Anolis sagrei: one gene and its partner. The protein of the gene in region 1 binds, or shares a complex with, the protein of each later gene. Links are inferred from orthologs where the notes say so. Each region holds a gene or a part of one and is shown in the gene's direction. Other genes may lie near its edges. The genes, in order: KAT6B and BRPF3.

What was found.
Region 2: KAT6B (region 1) and BRPF3 share a complex: the UniProt entries of both Homo sapiens proteins name them as parts of the MOZ/MORF complex. The link is inferred for Anolis sagrei from reciprocal best matches to the Homo sapiens genes KAT6B and BRPF3.

Annotation. Positions count from the first base shown.
Region 1 is NC_090023.1:148,790,750-148,798,831, forward strand, and holds the start of KAT6B (histone acetyltransferase KAT6B), read left to right. Parts: upstream 1-3,344; 5' UTR 3,345-3,555; intron 3,556-4,589; exon of another isoform or gene 4,590-4,676; intron 4,677-8,082. UniProt on the Homo sapiens protein: Histone acetyltransferase which may be involved in both positive and negative regulation of transcription. Required for RUNX2-dependent transcriptional activation. May be involved in cerebral cortex development.
Region 2 is NC_090024.1:186,394,921-186,403,002, forward strand, and holds the start of BRPF3 (bromodomain and PHD finger-containing protein 3), read left to right. Parts: upstream 1-3,568; 5' UTR 3,569-4,162; intron 4,163-8,082. UniProt on the Homo sapiens protein: Scaffold subunit of various histone acetyltransferase (HAT) complexes, such as the MOZ/MORF and HBO1 complexes, which have a histone H3 acetyltransferase activity.

The DNA of each region.
Region 1 (8,082 bases):
ATGTGTCCAGTAGGAAGAAAATGATGCTTCTGCCTCTTCACTTTGGGCTTCCTTGCCACAACTTTGTACCTCTACCATTTTCAAGTTGATCTTTCTTTTTTTATTATTCCATGTGAACGTGCAGGTTTTGCCTTGCTATTACAATGGCCAGCACACATTTTGTTGCCTCAAATGTGCTTCCTTACTACAAATTTGCACTTCTACCATTTTACAGTTGATTGTTCTTTTAAACAGTTTCAAATAAATGTGCATTTATACATTACTTGTTACTGACAATTACATCTTTATTTTAAAAGCATGTAACAAAAATGGGGGGGGGGGGGTCGCACACCAGGGCTGGAAGGGCACCTTTAAACCAGTCTCACCACTCCAGAACTCAATTTATAAGCAAAGCAGTTTACTGAAGGTAAAAGATCAAAGGGTCGATATAAAGTTTATTTCTTTAAAAACAAAGCAATTGACCTATAATTCCCAGAATCCTCAGCCACATCAGGTAAAGAACCAGGCTTCTGTGAGACCTCAGATGCTGTCACAATCACAGGCTGAACCACAACAAGGGGCATGGAATGGATTAATAGCAGTTCAATGGAAAATTAGCTTTGAGATAACAGCATTTTGAGTTAAGAGTCCAGTCATAAACAATTTAAACTCTTAACTCAAGGTATCATTGTACACACACACACACACATATATGTGTGTGTGTGTATGTTTATATTGTATGTATATGTGTATGTGTATGTCTATGTATATATGTGTGCATACTTTATGTATATAGGTGTGTATGTATATGTGTATATGTATGATTATATTTATATATGTGTGTGTATATGCATGCATGTGTTTATATTTGTATGTATATGCATATATGTGCTTGTATATATATGTATGCATATATGTGAATGTACATGTGTATGTGCATGTGTATATATGTGTATGTATATATGTGTATGTTGTATTTGTATATGTATATATATTGGGTGTGTGTTTATATTTGCATGTGTATATTTGTGTATATGTATATATGTTTATATTTGTATATATGTGTTTATATTTGTATGTATATATGTGTGTGTTTATATTTGTATGTATATGTGCATATATATATGTGTGTGTTTGTATATTTATATGTGCATGCATATGTGTATGTTTACATTTATATGTACAGATGTGCATGCATATGTGTATGTTTATATTTGTATATGTAGGTATGTGTATGTTTATATTTGTGTGTACTGTATATATGTATGTACAAGTGAATGTTTATATTTGTATGTATATGCATATATGTATGTATATATATGTATATATGTGCATGTACTTGTGCATATGAATATATGTGTAGGTTTGTATTTGTATGCATATATATGTATGTATGTTTTTGTTGTTCATTCGTTCAGTCACTTCCGACTCTTCATGACCTCATGAACCAGCCCATGCCAGAGCTTCCTGTCGGCTCCTTATCTTTTCTGGCTAACCTCTGGCATTGTGCATTTACAGTGTATGTATATATGTATATTTATATTTGTATATATATGGGGATATATTTCTATGCGGATGTATATGTATGTTTATATTTGTGTGTATATGCATATGTATGTATGCATATATGTGCATGTACTTATCTGTATATATATGTGGGTATTTATTTATTTTTATTTATTTGATGCATTTATTAACCGCCATTCTCAGCCCATTAGGGCGACTCATGGCGTATGCATATATATATATGCATGTGTATATGATGAATGGGTATCAAGGAGGAATTCTGTGTGGCACCCACAAACTTGGCAGCTGCTCAAGCCTAGCAGATGTATGTATATGTGTGTGTTTATATTTGTATGTATATGTGCATATATATGTGTGTGTGTGCATATTTATATGTGCATCCATATGTGTATGTTTACATTTATATGTAAAGATGTGCATGCATATGTGTATCTTTATATTTGTATATGTGGGTATGTGTATATTTGTATACTGTATATATGTATGTATAAGTGAATGTTTATATTCGTATATATATGCATATGTGTATGTGTATATATATATATATATATACATATATGCATATATGTGCATGTACATGTGCATATGTATGTATGTGCAGGTTTGTATTTGTATGTATATATGTGGGTGTGCGTTTATATTTGTATGTATATATATATATATATATATATATGTATTTGTTGTTCATTCATTCAGTCACTTCTGACTCTTCATGACTTCATGAGCCAGCCCATGCCAGAGCAACCTGTCAGCCGTCACCACCCCCAGCTCCTTCAAGGTCCTTATCTCTTCTGGCTAACCTCTGGAGTTGTGCATTTACTGTGTATGTATATATGTATATTTCTATTTGTAAACAAAGATCTGCATAGTCAAAGCCATGGTATTCCCTGTAGTAACCTACGGATGTGAGAGCTGGACCTTAGGGAAGGCTGAGTGAAGGAAGATCGATGCTTTTGAACTGTGGTGTTGGAGGAAAGTGCTGAGAGTGCCGTGGACTGCGAGAAGATCCAACCAGTCCATCCTCCAGGAAATAAAGCCCAGAGGGAAGGATACTGGAGACATTGGAGGGAAGGATACTGGAGACAAAGTTGAAATACTTTGGCCACATCATGAGGAGACAGCAAAGCCTAGAGAAGACAATGATGATGGGGAAAGTGGAAGAAAAAAAGGAAGAGGGGCTGACCAAGGGCAAGATGGATGGATGGCATCCTTGAAGTGACCGGACTGACCTTGAAGGAGCTGGGGGTGGTGACAGCTGACAGGGAGCTCTGGCGTAGGCTGGCCCATGAGGTCCCGAAGAGTCGGAGATGACTAAACAAATGAACAACAACAACAAAATATGCCTATCTATGTATGTATGCATATATGTCCATGTACATATGTGTATACATGTGAGTATGCATATATGTGTATGCATGTGTATATGATGGATGGGTATCAAGGAGGAATTCTGTGTGGCACCCACAAACTTGGCAGCTGCTCAAGCCTAGCAGAGAAGAGGTTGTTGTGTGACTGAGTCTTGTACCTGAAGGAGGGCCACCTTTGTAGAGAGAAGGCAGGCATGGGGAGCGTGGAGAAGCGAGGAAAGGGGGGGGGGTCCCCAAGTTGGTACCAGGTTGGGGGGGTAGGCAGCCCCTTCTTCCAGCTCTGAGGACAAAAGGCGCTCCCAGCCCTGCGGATGCCTCCTTGGCGAAGGGGCCCCTTGCCTTGGGATGGCGCCCCTCCTTCCCTCCTCCCTCCCTGCCTCCGTCCAGCCAGCCAGCCAGCCATCTAGCCAGCCTCCCCCTTCCTTCCTCCCCTTCCCTTTCCCCTCCTCCTCCTCCTCCCCCTCCCTCCCGAGGAGCTCCGTTTCCCACTTGCCAGGAGCAGATTAAAAAAAAGAGAGAGAAAGAAAAAAAAAACCCCGCAACAACCCAGAAAACGGGGAGGGACCTCTTCTGTCAGAGCCTTATGTAGATTAACCTTTCAATTAGCCGTGATCAAGTCCCTGCTTTTAGAGCCCACCACCACCACCGGGTCCGGGAGACAAATCTGCAGCCACCAAGAAAGGTCGGATGGGGGGGAATTGATGGATGGATGGATTGGTTTGCAAAAGATTGGATTCTTTGGAAGGGGGAGGGAAAGGAGGATGAGGATGGGGAGGATTCCTCCCGTTGGAGTGCTTCTGCTTCCCAATCTCTGGGGGTTTTTGTGTGGGGTGTGTTTTGGGATTGTTGTGGAGCAGGGAAATCGATAGTTTGGGGGGAAAGGGTTGTTGTTGTTGGTGGGGTTCTTCTCTTTGCCTTCTCCTCGGAGCCACATTCCTAAGGAGCATCTCTCCTTTCTCTCTCTCTGTCTCCCTCCCGCCAAGGCACGTGTTTACAGAGGATCCGTGCCTTTCCCTCCTCCCTCCCTCCTTATAGACTGCGATTGTTTCCTGCAGGAAATGGGCGGGTTCGGCGGGCCCCGCGTGCCTGGGCAGGCAGCGCGTGCACCCTTCTTCCTCCCTCTCTCTCTCAATCTTTCCCTTCCTTCTGATTTGGAGCTTGTTTTGTTTCCCCTTTCAATTCCGCCCGCCCGCGTGGCGTGAAACTCAATAATAATAACAATAATAATACAGTACTCCCGCGCGCCGCTGATTAGTATGTGTCGCGTGCCCTCCCGCACGCCGAAAGCGCCCCCCGCTCTATTCCCACAGATTACAAACTTCAGGATGAAACCGAAGCAAAGGCAAAAAAAAGGGAGGCTGCTTGAGCTTGATTGATAGCTTCACTAGCCTATTAAACAAGCCAAAGCGTGCCTCCCTTTTCTCTCTCTCTCAATCTTCGTCCCTCCCCCTTTTTATGTGTAATTGCCAGCCAACTAGGATCGTGGACAGCGACAGTGCATTTTTTTCCCTCCCCCGACTATAGGATTGATTGACAGCACTCACCGTCCAATGGCGTGCTAGGTCTAAATGGGTTGGTGGAGAGGAATGACGAGAGGCAGGGCGCTGCCGCCAATGAGCGCGGCGGTTTGAACGAAGAGGCGGGGCGTCCACCAAGGGGAGGGCAAGCGAGGGAGGGGGGGCAGAGGCTGTAATGAGCCTACATCGGGCTGTCATCGGGTGTCATGTCGGATGCGCGGTGACTGCGAGAGGGCGAGACAAAATGGCGGCAGCGAAGGCGGCTTGAAAGGCGAAGGGCGGCGAGGTGAGAAGCGGTGGCGGCGCGGGCGCTGCCCGAGGAGGAGGGAACTTGGGCGGCGGCGGGGAGGCCGGCAGGGGGCGCAGCTGGGGCTTGCCTTGGCTCCTCCCCCCGGCGGAGGGTGGGTCGCGAGCGCCCCCCGGCGGACGAGGCGAGGCAAGCAGGGGCCTCGCGCCCTCGTTGCAGGTGGCGCGCGCGAGGAGAGAGGGGGGGCGTGGGGCGGGGCCAGCTATGCAAATCAACCCTGTGAGGGCAACTGGATGGGCTTGGAGTTATTGGATGGGTAAATAAGAGGCCTGCTATGCAGAGCTGAAGGAAGCGTTGGTTGGGCGCGTGCCTTTGAACGTGGCCTCTGAGAGGCTTGGGGAGGAGAGCTCAGGACCCTTCCACACAGCTGTATAAAATCCCACATTATCTGCTTTGAACTGGGTTATATGGCAGTATGGGCTCAGGGCAGCCCTATATCCCAGAGTATCAAGGCAGAAAACCCCACAATATCTGCTTTGAAACTGGGTTATATGGCAGTATGGGCTCAGGGCAGCCCTACATCCCATAATATCAAGGCAGAAAATCCCACAATATCTGCTTTGAAACTGGGTTATATGGCAGTATGGGCTCAGGGCAGCCCTACATCCCATAATATCAAGGCAGAAAATACCACTATATCTGTTTTGAACAGGGTTATATGGCAGTATGGGCTCAGGGCAGCCCTACATCCCAGAATATCAAGGCAGAAAACCCCACAATATCTGCTTTGAACTGGGTTAGCTGAGAACACACAGAGATATTGTGGGATTTTCTGCTTTGATATTCTGGGTTATAGGGCTGTGGGGAAGGGTCCCGAGGGGCTCCTGAGGAAAACAATCTGAGTACGCTTCCACACAGGCATATAACCCAGAATATCAAGGCAGTAAATCCCACAATATCTGCTTTGAACTGGGTTATATGGCAGTATGGGCTCAGGGCAGCCCTGTATCCCAGAATATCAAGGCAGAAAATCCCACAATATCTGCATTGAACTGGGTTATATGGCAGTATGGGCTCAGGGCAGCCCTGTATCCCAGAATATCAAGGCAGAAAATCCCACAAGATCTGCATTGAACTGGGTTATATGGCAGTATGGGCTCAGGGCAGCCCTACATCCCAGAATATCAAGGCAGAAAACCCCACAATATCTGCTTTGAACTGGGTTATATGGCAGTATTGGCTTAGGGCAACCCTATATCCCAGAATATCATGGCAGAAAACCCCATAATATCTGCTTTGAACTGGGTTATATGGCAGTATGGGCTCAGGGCAGCCCTATTTCCCAGAATATCAAGGCAGAAAATCCCACAATATCTGATTTGAACTGGGTTGTATGAGTCCACACAGAGGTATTGTGGGATTTTCTGTTTTTATATTCTGGGTTATAGGGCTGTGGGGAAGGGTCCTGAGGAGTTCCTGAGAAAAACAATCTGAGGGTGCTTCCACACAGGCATATAACCCAGAATATCAAGGCAGAAGATCCCACAATATCTGCTTTAAACTGGGTTATCTGAGTCCACACAGAGATAATGTGGGATTTTCTGACTTGATATTCTGGGATATAGGGCTGTGTGGCAGGGCCCTTAGATATCCCAGTTCAAAGCAGATATTCTGGATCATCTGCCATGATATTCTGGGTCATATGGCTGTTTGGAAGGGTCCTCACTTTGTTTTTCTCAAGAGTCCCTCAGGACCCTTCCTCACAGCCATGTAACCCAGAATATCAAAGCAGAAAATCCCACAATATCTGCTTTGAATAGGGTCATCAGAGCCTATTGCACACTGCCATATATCCCAGTTCAAAGCAGATATTCTGGATTTTTCTGCTTTGTTTCTAGGTTATATGGCTGTGTGGAAGGGCTCTCAGGTTGTTTTTCTCAAGAGCCCCTCAGGACCCTTCCATACAGCTATATAACCCAGAATATTAAAGCAGAAAATCCTACAATATCTGCTTTGAATAGGCTCATCAGAGTCCAACCTGCCATATATTCCAGTTCAAAGCAGATAATGTGGGATTTTATTCAGCTGTGTGGAAGGAGCCTCGGATAACCCAGTTCAAAGCAGATATTCTGGAGTATCTGCCTTAATATTCTGGGTTATATGGCTGTGTGGAAGGGCCTTTAGTTTGTCTTTCTCAACAGCCCCTCAGGACCCTTCTACATAGCCAGAATATTCAGACAGAAAACCCCACAGGATCTGCTTTGAACTAGGTTATCTGAGTCCACACTGCCATATATTCTAGTTCAAAGCAGAAAATGTAGGATTTTATTCAGCTGTGTCAAAGGGGGCTCAGATAACTCAGTTCAAAGCAGATATTGTGGATTACCTGCCTTAATATTCTGGGTTATATGGCTGTGTTGGAAGGACCCTGAGTCCAAACTGCCATATTATCCAGTTCAACGTGGATTTTATACAGCTGTATGGATGTGGCCTCAGTCAGGTAGAGTACCTTCAGCCTGTGGCCCACCAGTTGTTTGGGCCTCCAACTTCCAGAATTCCTGACCATTGAACAAGCTAGCTAAGAGTCCTGAGAGTTGGAGGCCCAAACAACTGGTGGGCTGCACTGTGATTCAGTGCATAGAACTTCCTTTTTGTATGTCTGGTACTTCATAGTTGGGCAGTCTATAAATGGTGGCATTGAGACCACCTCCCAAAGAGTTTTTGGTTTGAAATGAATATAGTGGGGAACTAAAGCAGTCCTGGGTAAACTTTGGTTCTCCAATTGTTTTGGACTTCAGCTTGCACATTTCCTAGCAGCTGGTAGGCTGTCAGGAATTGTGAGAGTTGGAAGTCCAAAATACCTGGAGAACCGAAGTATGCTCATGTCTGAACTAGAGTAAGAAGGTGTGGATATACTTAGTTTCTAAGCTTTCCAGTTTTCATTTCATGAAAAGGGCTAATGAGTCTCTGTTTCCTGCCAAAGTTTTGTGGGGTTTTTTTGGTTTGTTTTTTTTGTTTTGCTTGGGTTTCTAGGAGATGCATATCAACCACATGTGGTTGTCTGCACCATTCCTATCCCTGCTTTATCCTGTTCTCTTTCAGAAAGCTCAGGATAATTCTGTGGTTTTCACCCTTTTCCTTTTTACCCTTGCAACCATCCTTTCATACAGTCATAACTGCAAGAGACCTCGCAATGCCATCCAATCCAACCCCCTACCATGCAGGAAAATTGCAATCAAAGGGCTCCCGACAGATGGCCATCAGCCTCTGTTTAAAAGCCTCCAAGGAAGGAGCCTTCATCACACTCCAATGCAGAGAGTTCCACTATTGAACAGCTTTCACGGTCAAGGAGTTCTTCCTAATGTTCAGGTGGAATTTGAACCCTTTAAATAGAGAGAGTCAGGCAGAAATGCCTCATAGAAAGTATTGTTGCCATGTGGCAAAG
Region 2 (8,082 bases), on another chromosome or scaffold:
TTCTAACCTTTCCATGTGCTTCTCATGTAATAAGTAGTATTATTAGATTTTCTATCTCCTCTGAAATAAAGAACATCCTCTTAAGCTGGTAACACTGAGAAACCATCTTTTTTCTTGAATGGAATGAAATCCCTTGGAATTAGGTTATCTGAAGGTTCACAGAAATTTCAGTTACATTATATTTAACAGAAGTCAGTGCATGAGGGACAAGCCCAGCTCTGTCTGAAAAACAGCTACTCTAGTCCTTTGCTTAGCCCTGTGTGAGTGTGTCAATATGCCTTCAAGTCACCTCTCAATTTGTGGCAACTCCATGCATTTCGTAGGGTTGTGTAGGCAAGGAATACTCAAGAGGTGGTTTAGGCATTTCCTTCCTCTAAAATACTGCGTACTGCACACAGTATTCATTGGCTGTTTCTCAACAAAATACCACCCAGGTTCCAGGACTAGATGGGATCTAGTATCTTCAGGTTATTTAAGTGGATGCCTAGCCCTTTAAATACTATAGTATCAAACCAGAAATAGGTTGCTTCCTGAAAATAACAGTGCAACAGTATTTTGAAGACACAACTCATGTCAGTTGCAATTTATAGCATACTATTTATTCCACAACTGTTACACATATAGGGCTATAAACTGCCTTCCTGTTGAAGTTCAAGATGGAGGGATGGTATCCTTGAAGTGACTGGCTTGATTCTGAAGGAGCTGGGGGTGGTGACAGCCGACAGGGAACTCTGGCGTGGGCTGGTCCATGAGGTCACAAAGAGTTGGAAGCGAGTAAATGAATAAACAACAACATCCATTTCCTCCGGTTGATGTTTGCTTTGTAAAATTTGGGCTCAGCGCTCTAATCTGTTAGGATTGTTTGGGATTCTGATCCTGGGGTATTACCTAACCCTTTCAATTTGGCATCATTGAGGTACGCTATACTCACCTTTCAATTTTCACTTAAGTGTATCCATTTCCCCCGGTTGAGGATCACTTTGTGAAATTTGGGTCCAGCGCTCTAATCTGTTGGGAGTCTGATCCTATCCTCTGGGATATTCATTATCCCTCCCATTTTGGTGGATAACAAACTTGACAAACTTTGGTTGGCTTTTTGTAAATCAATGCAGATGTTTTACTGTTTAGGTTTTATGTCATATAAATTTGTTTGCATACGTTTTGTTTAATTTATTGATGTTAGGTTTTGATGTTATTTTCATATGTGGGGTTATTTTGGATTACTCGTTAACGTTTGTTTTATCAAAGCGATGAATGCTTGTCTTTTTGTTTGTTGGAATCTGCTCTGAGACCCCTTGGGGAGGTAGGGAGGAATATAAATACAGTTATTATTATTTGTGACATTGAGGTACACGTTTCCATTTTTCTCACCCAAGTGCAGAATCATAATATTGGAGACCACATGGGACATCCAGTCCAACCCCTTGCCATGCAGAAAAAGCAGTCAAAGCATCTCCAACAGATGGCCATCCCACTTGTTTAAAAACCTCTACCACACATCGAGACAGTGAGTTCCACTGTTGCAGTGTGGCCTAGGATAGGGAACACACAATGTCCCTATTAAAACAGCTCCATTGGCTACTGTTAAGTTTTGATGTAAATTCAAACTACAGGTTATTACCTATAAAGCCCTGCTTATCTTTGTGACCGCATACCCCCTATGTACCTGCGCTAGAATCAAGATCTGCTGGGGAGGCCCGCCTCGCAATCCTGCCACCATCCCAAGCACGGTTGGTGGGAACGAGGGAGAGGGCCTTTTCAGTGGTGGTCCCACGGCTTTGGAACACCCTTCCTCAGGGAGATTAGGCAGGCCCCCACATTGTCCTCTTTCAGTAGGGATTTGAAGACTTGGATGTTTAAACAAGCTTTTGAGAATTTCTAGCCCAATGGTCCGCAATTAATGACACAGCACTGCACTTTCATCCCATGCATTGGTTCCTTACAGTTTGCACTATTTCATTCCCTTGTCTTGTTTACAGTTTGGCCATGTCTTACAGCTGTTGTCACCACAGGTTATTGGGCGTTGTTCTGAGTTTTAAATTACTGTTTTTATGTGCTATTGGTTTTACTTTTTCTATTGTAAAAAGTAAAGGTTTTGTTTCCAAATCTGGGGGGTGGTGCTCATTTTCAAGTTGAAGAGCTGGCATTGTCCGTAGACATCTCCAAGTTCATGTGGCCTACATGGTGGGCCGTTACTTTCCCGTCAAAGCGGTGCCTATTGATCTACTCACATTTACATGTTTTCAAACTGCTAAGTTGGTAGAAGCTGGGACTAACAATGGGAGCTCACCCCACTTCCCTGGATTCGAACAGCCAACCTTTCAGTCTGCAAGGTTGTATTGTACTGTTGTTTTGTATTGTACTGTGTGTATATTTTATGCGTTGTTTTTAGGCACTTTGTGCCATATGTAAGCCGGCCTGAATCCCTTCAGGGAGATGGAGAGGTACAAAAATAAAGCTATTATTATTATTATTTTATTGGCATCGGCAAACTTCATCCCTCCAGGTGTTTTGGACTTCAATTCCCACAATCCCTAACAGCCTTAGGCCCTTTCCTTTTCCACCCCAGCCTCTACACCAGGGGTCCTCAAACTAAGACCTGGGGGCCAGATAAGGCCCTCCAAGGTCATTTACCCGGCCCTTGCTCAGGGTCAACCTAAGTCTAAAATGACTTGAAAGCACACAACAACAATCCTATCTCATCAGCCAAAAGCGAGCCTACACTTCTAATTGAAATAGTAATAAGTTGATATTTGTTAAAATTGTCCTTCATTTTAATTATTGTGTTGTTTTAAAGTGTTTTCTGCACTACAAATAAGATATGTGCAGTGGACATAGGAATTCATTCATGTTTTTTTCAAATTATAATCCGGCCCTCCAACAGTTTGAGGGACTGTGATCTGGCCCTCTGTTTAAACCAGGGGTCCACAAACTTTTTAAACAGAGGGCCAGGCCACAGTCCCTCAAACTGTTTAAGGGCCAGATTATAATTTGAAAAAAAATATGAATGAATTCCTATGTCCACTGCACATATCTTATTTGTAGTGCAAAAAACACTTAAAACAATACAATAATTAAAATGAAAATTTCAACAAATATAAAATTATTAGTATTTCAATGGGAAGTGTGGGCCTACTTTTGGCTGATGAGATAGGACTGTTGTTATTGTTGTGTGCTTTCAAGTCATTTCAGACTTTGGTTGACCCTGAGCGAGGGCTGGGTAAATGACCTTGAGGGGCCGCATCCGGCCCCCGGGCCTTAGTTTGAGGACCCCTGCTCTACACTGTTTAACAATGGAACACCTGAACAGTAGGATGAACTTCCTAACTGTGAGAGCTGTTCAGCAGGAGTGCAACAAAGGCTCCTTCTTAGGAGGCTTTTAAGCAGAGGCTGGATGGCCATCTGTTGGGGGTGCTTTGAATGCGATTTTCCTGCTTCTTGGCAGGGGGCTGGACTGGATGGCCCACAAGGTCTCTTCCAACTCTATGAGGGCCGAAGTTTGCCCATGCCTGGTGTGGATGATACACTTCTCCCTGCTGAAGTCCATTTTGTGGAGTTGGGTGCAGCGCTGTAGGCTGATCCTGTCCTCTGGGGAATCGGCTCTCCCTCCCTCATCGGGCCAGCACTGAGGTCAACCCTCCCTGCCTCCCTCCCTCCCAGTGCCCCTCAAGGAAGGCAGCCACTCAGTCAGTCCCAGGGCTTCCCGGGGCAAGAGAGGAGCACCTGGGAGGCGCCTCCAGCCCTGCGTCGCCTACCTCGGCCTCCCCTCGCCCTCGCCCCCGGGGCCTCCAAGACTCGTGTCCAGGGAGGAAACGCAAGGGGGGGCGGTCCCTGTCCGGGGGGGGGGGAGCGAAAGGGAGCGGCGCGGCGGCAGTAGCAGGAGCAGCCCCCTCCCTCGCCGCCTCCTTCTCCCCCTCCTTCGCTCTCTCCCTCCATCGCTTGGCCGGGCTTGGCGCTCCTGCTGCTGCTGCTCCCACGGCCGCCTCCATCTTGCCGCCTTCCCCCTTTCCTGCCCTGCAACAGGAGCCGCGGAAGAGAGCGGCTGAAGAGCTGCGGGCGACGAGGGGGCGGCGCTGAGCCGACATTTTGTGCCCCCTCCCTTCCTCCCTCCCTCAGCGACGGCGCCAACGGCAGACGGCGAGGCAGCGGCCCAGGAAGGCAAGTAAGCGCCCGCTTTATCCGTGACTCTCTCTCCCTCTCCCCCTTCTCTCTCTCTCTGATAATACCCTCAGGGTCGTGGGAAGGTGACTTATCGTGAAGGGCTTGGCGGGACCGACACAGGCTCGGCCCGCTTCCGAAACACTTGGCAAGGCTCACTTTCCAAAGCGCCGCCTCCTGAGGTGAAGGAGGAAGACAACCTAAACGGGGAGCGCGGGGGGGACAGGGGAGAGCGAGCCCCGCCATCTTGTTTTCCCTCACCACCGGGAAGCCTTAGCCACGCCCACCTTCCCCTTCCCTATTGGACGGCGTAGCTCCCGCCCGCGAGCTGGGCGCTGCTATGGGTGATGGGCAGCGCCGGTGTCCAATGAGAGCGCGGCTGCCGCTGTTTCTCTTACCTGTCGAGGGATATTCCCCCCCCCCCTTTCCCGCTGGTCGATGTTGGCACTGTGGGCTCCTTGAGGCCTCTGGGTCACGTGATCAAGGCCTGCATCCTGATATATCCTCCAGTTTCTGTGCAGAGGCCTGGTTTATTTTTTCCCTCACTGTGAACCTCCTGGGGACTCTTGAGTGGCCACAGCTGCCGTGCTAATGCTTAAATCCTGAGGCAATTCAATGCACTCTGTACCTTTCCCAAAAGGCAGCTCATTTGTACACAATTGGCATAGCTTCTGGTCACACACTGAGGCAGTGAGTTCCACTATTGAACAGTGTAGACTAGTCATGGGCAAGCTCGGGCCCTTCAGGTGTTTTGGATTTCAACTCCCACAATTCCCAACAGTCTCAGGTCCATTCTATTTCCCCTGAGGCTGTTAGGAATTGTGGGAGTTGAAATCCAAAACACCTAGTAGCACAAGCTTGCCCATGCCTGTTCTGGCCCATATAGTACCAGAGTCACCAGGAAGTTGAGGCAAAATACACATTATTATTATTATTATTATTATTATTATTATTATTATTTTGGTCGTGTTAGGAGTGACTTGAGAAACTGCAAGTCTCTTCTGGTGTGAGAGAATTGGCTGTCTGGAAGGACGTTGCCCAGGGGATGCTCGGATGTTGTGATGTTTTAACATCCTTGTGGGAGGCTTCTCTCATGTCCCTGCATGAGGAGCTGGAGCTGATAGAGGGAGCTCATCCGTGCTCTTCACGGATTTGAACCTTCGACCTGTCGGTCTTCAGTTCTGCTGGCACAGGGGTTTATTATTATTATTATTATTATTATTATTATTATTATTTGAAACACAACAAGATGAGTCCACAACAGACAAGATCACTCTGCTGGTTGTTGTATTCGATCACACGTTGGACACTTCCCAAGTGTCTAGGACTGTGTGATGTATCGGCGAATAATGCATGCAGATCCCAGTAAGGTTGCCATTTGCCTCTGGCAGATGGTAATTTTGTCAGCGCCAATTGTGTTGAAGTGCAGGCCAAGGTCTTTAGGCACTGCACCCAGTGTGCCAATCACTGGGACTACCTTGACTGGCTTGTGGCAGAGTCTTTGCAGTTAGATCTTTAAATCCTTGTACCGTGTCAGCTTTTCCAGTTGTTTCTCTTCAATTCTGCTGTCACCTGGGATTGCAACATTGACAATCCATACTTATTATTATTTGTATTTATATCCCACTTTACCTTTCATACAAACCCTAAAAGTTCAAAACATTAGAAATCTTTTGTACCTAAAATGCTACATAAGTTCCTGTTCATATCAGCGATTTAACTTGACCTGGAAAAAAGATTGTGGTCTGACACGCGATGCATCCACATTGTAGAGTTAATGCAGTTTTCTACAACTTTAACTGGGCCTTGAATAGAGAGACAACTAAGCTAAGCACATTTTGGTGAGTTTTTTTCTTAATGTTGTGGCTGTGTGGAATAGGAGCGAGTAAATTGTGAAGTGTTGACACATTTCATACTCAATGGCAACAAGTTTATTTTCCTGCCACATGGTAACATTCACTAACCAAGACCAGGTTCTCCTTAGAACAGGTTGTGCTCATTCTTAAGCAAGAAAATTAATTGCATTTTTCCACTGCTTTCATTTCTGCCTCCCGTCAGAAAAGGAAGAAAACATTTCACCCCTCACAGAAAAGAGTGCATCTATTCCTTCTAATATCTTTCTCTGTGGCTCAGTCATTTTTCTCCATCTTGGTTTCTGTTCCTCAGATTGCAGGATTTATTTATATCGTATCAAAAGCATTGCATAAATAAGTATAAAACTGATAAAAATAGAAGGAGCCCAGGCGGCTAAATATTTTTTGACCACAGACAGGCAACAGCGACCGCATTGTCTGTAGCTTTAAACAGTTCTTCCTCTGTAGGATTTATGTCAACTAGTAATGCATGTTAAAAGCCAAAGATTGGTCACATTAGTGTTTCTCTGTGTTTCTTGCCTTGGCCCTGGTCGCTCCTTAGGAATTCTGGGTCTCAGTGCTGAAAATACAGCAGTAGTGTCAGCTAGCAGATTTCTCTTGTTCTGGTCTTGAATATTATAGCCTTCAGTACCTTCCCTTGCCTCCTCCCTCCCTTCTTTCCTTCCCTCCCTCCCCTTCTCTCTCTCAGGGTGCATCTACACCAGGCAGGGGAATATTTTAGCCCTCCAGGTGTTTTGGACTTCAACTCCCACAATTCCTAAAATCTGGTAAGCTGTTAGGAATTGTGGGAGTTGAAGTCCAAAACACCTGGAGGGACAAAGTTTATCCATTCCTGATCTACACTGTAGAAATAATGCATTTTGACACCACTTTATCTGCGGTGGCTTAATGATATGGAGTCCTGGGAGCTATAGTTTTACACGGTCTTTAGCCTTCACAGCCAAAGAGCACTGGTGCCCCACTATACTATAAATGGCATTATTCCAAAGCCTTGCGTCATGGCAGTTAAAATTCATCAGATTCCATCAATTTGGCAATGTAGATGCATCCTTAAGCCCACTTTCTCTTTGTGCCCTTTCCTTCAATGCATCACCCACCGTTTCATCAGGTCCCAGCACCCCTTGACCCTCTTTCCTGATACTCCTTTCTCACTTTTCCTTCTGACTTTAAGCACTTCAAGTTGCCCCCCCCCCATCTTACCATAATTACTTGTCTGAACATCTGTCCTTTTTATCCAGCCTCTCTCCATAATTGCCTTCCTTAGCTTTTAGATCTCCCACGTCCAAAGGACTCTTCCTTTACTTTAACCAGCTTGCTTGAATTTTTAATTCTAGTCAAACTCACAGCTTATCCTATTAAGTTGCGACTCAAAGCTCCCCGATCAACATATTGAAAATAACTATTTCTATAGTTTTGCATGCATTAAATATATAGTCTTGTTTGTCTTTGATTCAGCAGTGGAAAGCTCATAGGGTCAAAGGAGTAGTGTCACAAATTTTATAGATAGAAAGCAAATTTTATTGTATTATATGTATAATTGGATACCAGAGAGATAAATTAAAAAATCTACTGAATTTCAGCAGAAAAAATGTGCTATTGTTAGCTGATGATGGCTGGCATGTTCAGACACATGGTAACAATACTGAAGAAGTCTGATCTGTTGGTCAATGCTTGAGATAGGCAAGGACTGAGATAGTGGAAAGGATGGAGAAAAAGTAAAGTCATCGAAGGAAGAAAGAATTGAAATGTAGTGTCTTACTGCAGGTGAGTCTGCTGTAGGGCACCAAAGCAAATGTTCTTGGTCCACAAATTGCTTTGCTCTAATGTATGGAAGAAGTGTGGCATTGTATAACAGCAGGAAGCCAGAAAGAAAATCACACAAAATAAGCACGTACTTCCCCTAATATGCCTTTGCAATTACGAATAATCTTTATAATAAATTACAATAACTGCAAAGGTAGCTTAAAGTTAGAATTATTTGGTTATTGAAAATCATGGAATTGCAAAATATGCATTGTTCTATTTATATTTTTAATTGGTAATCTTACAT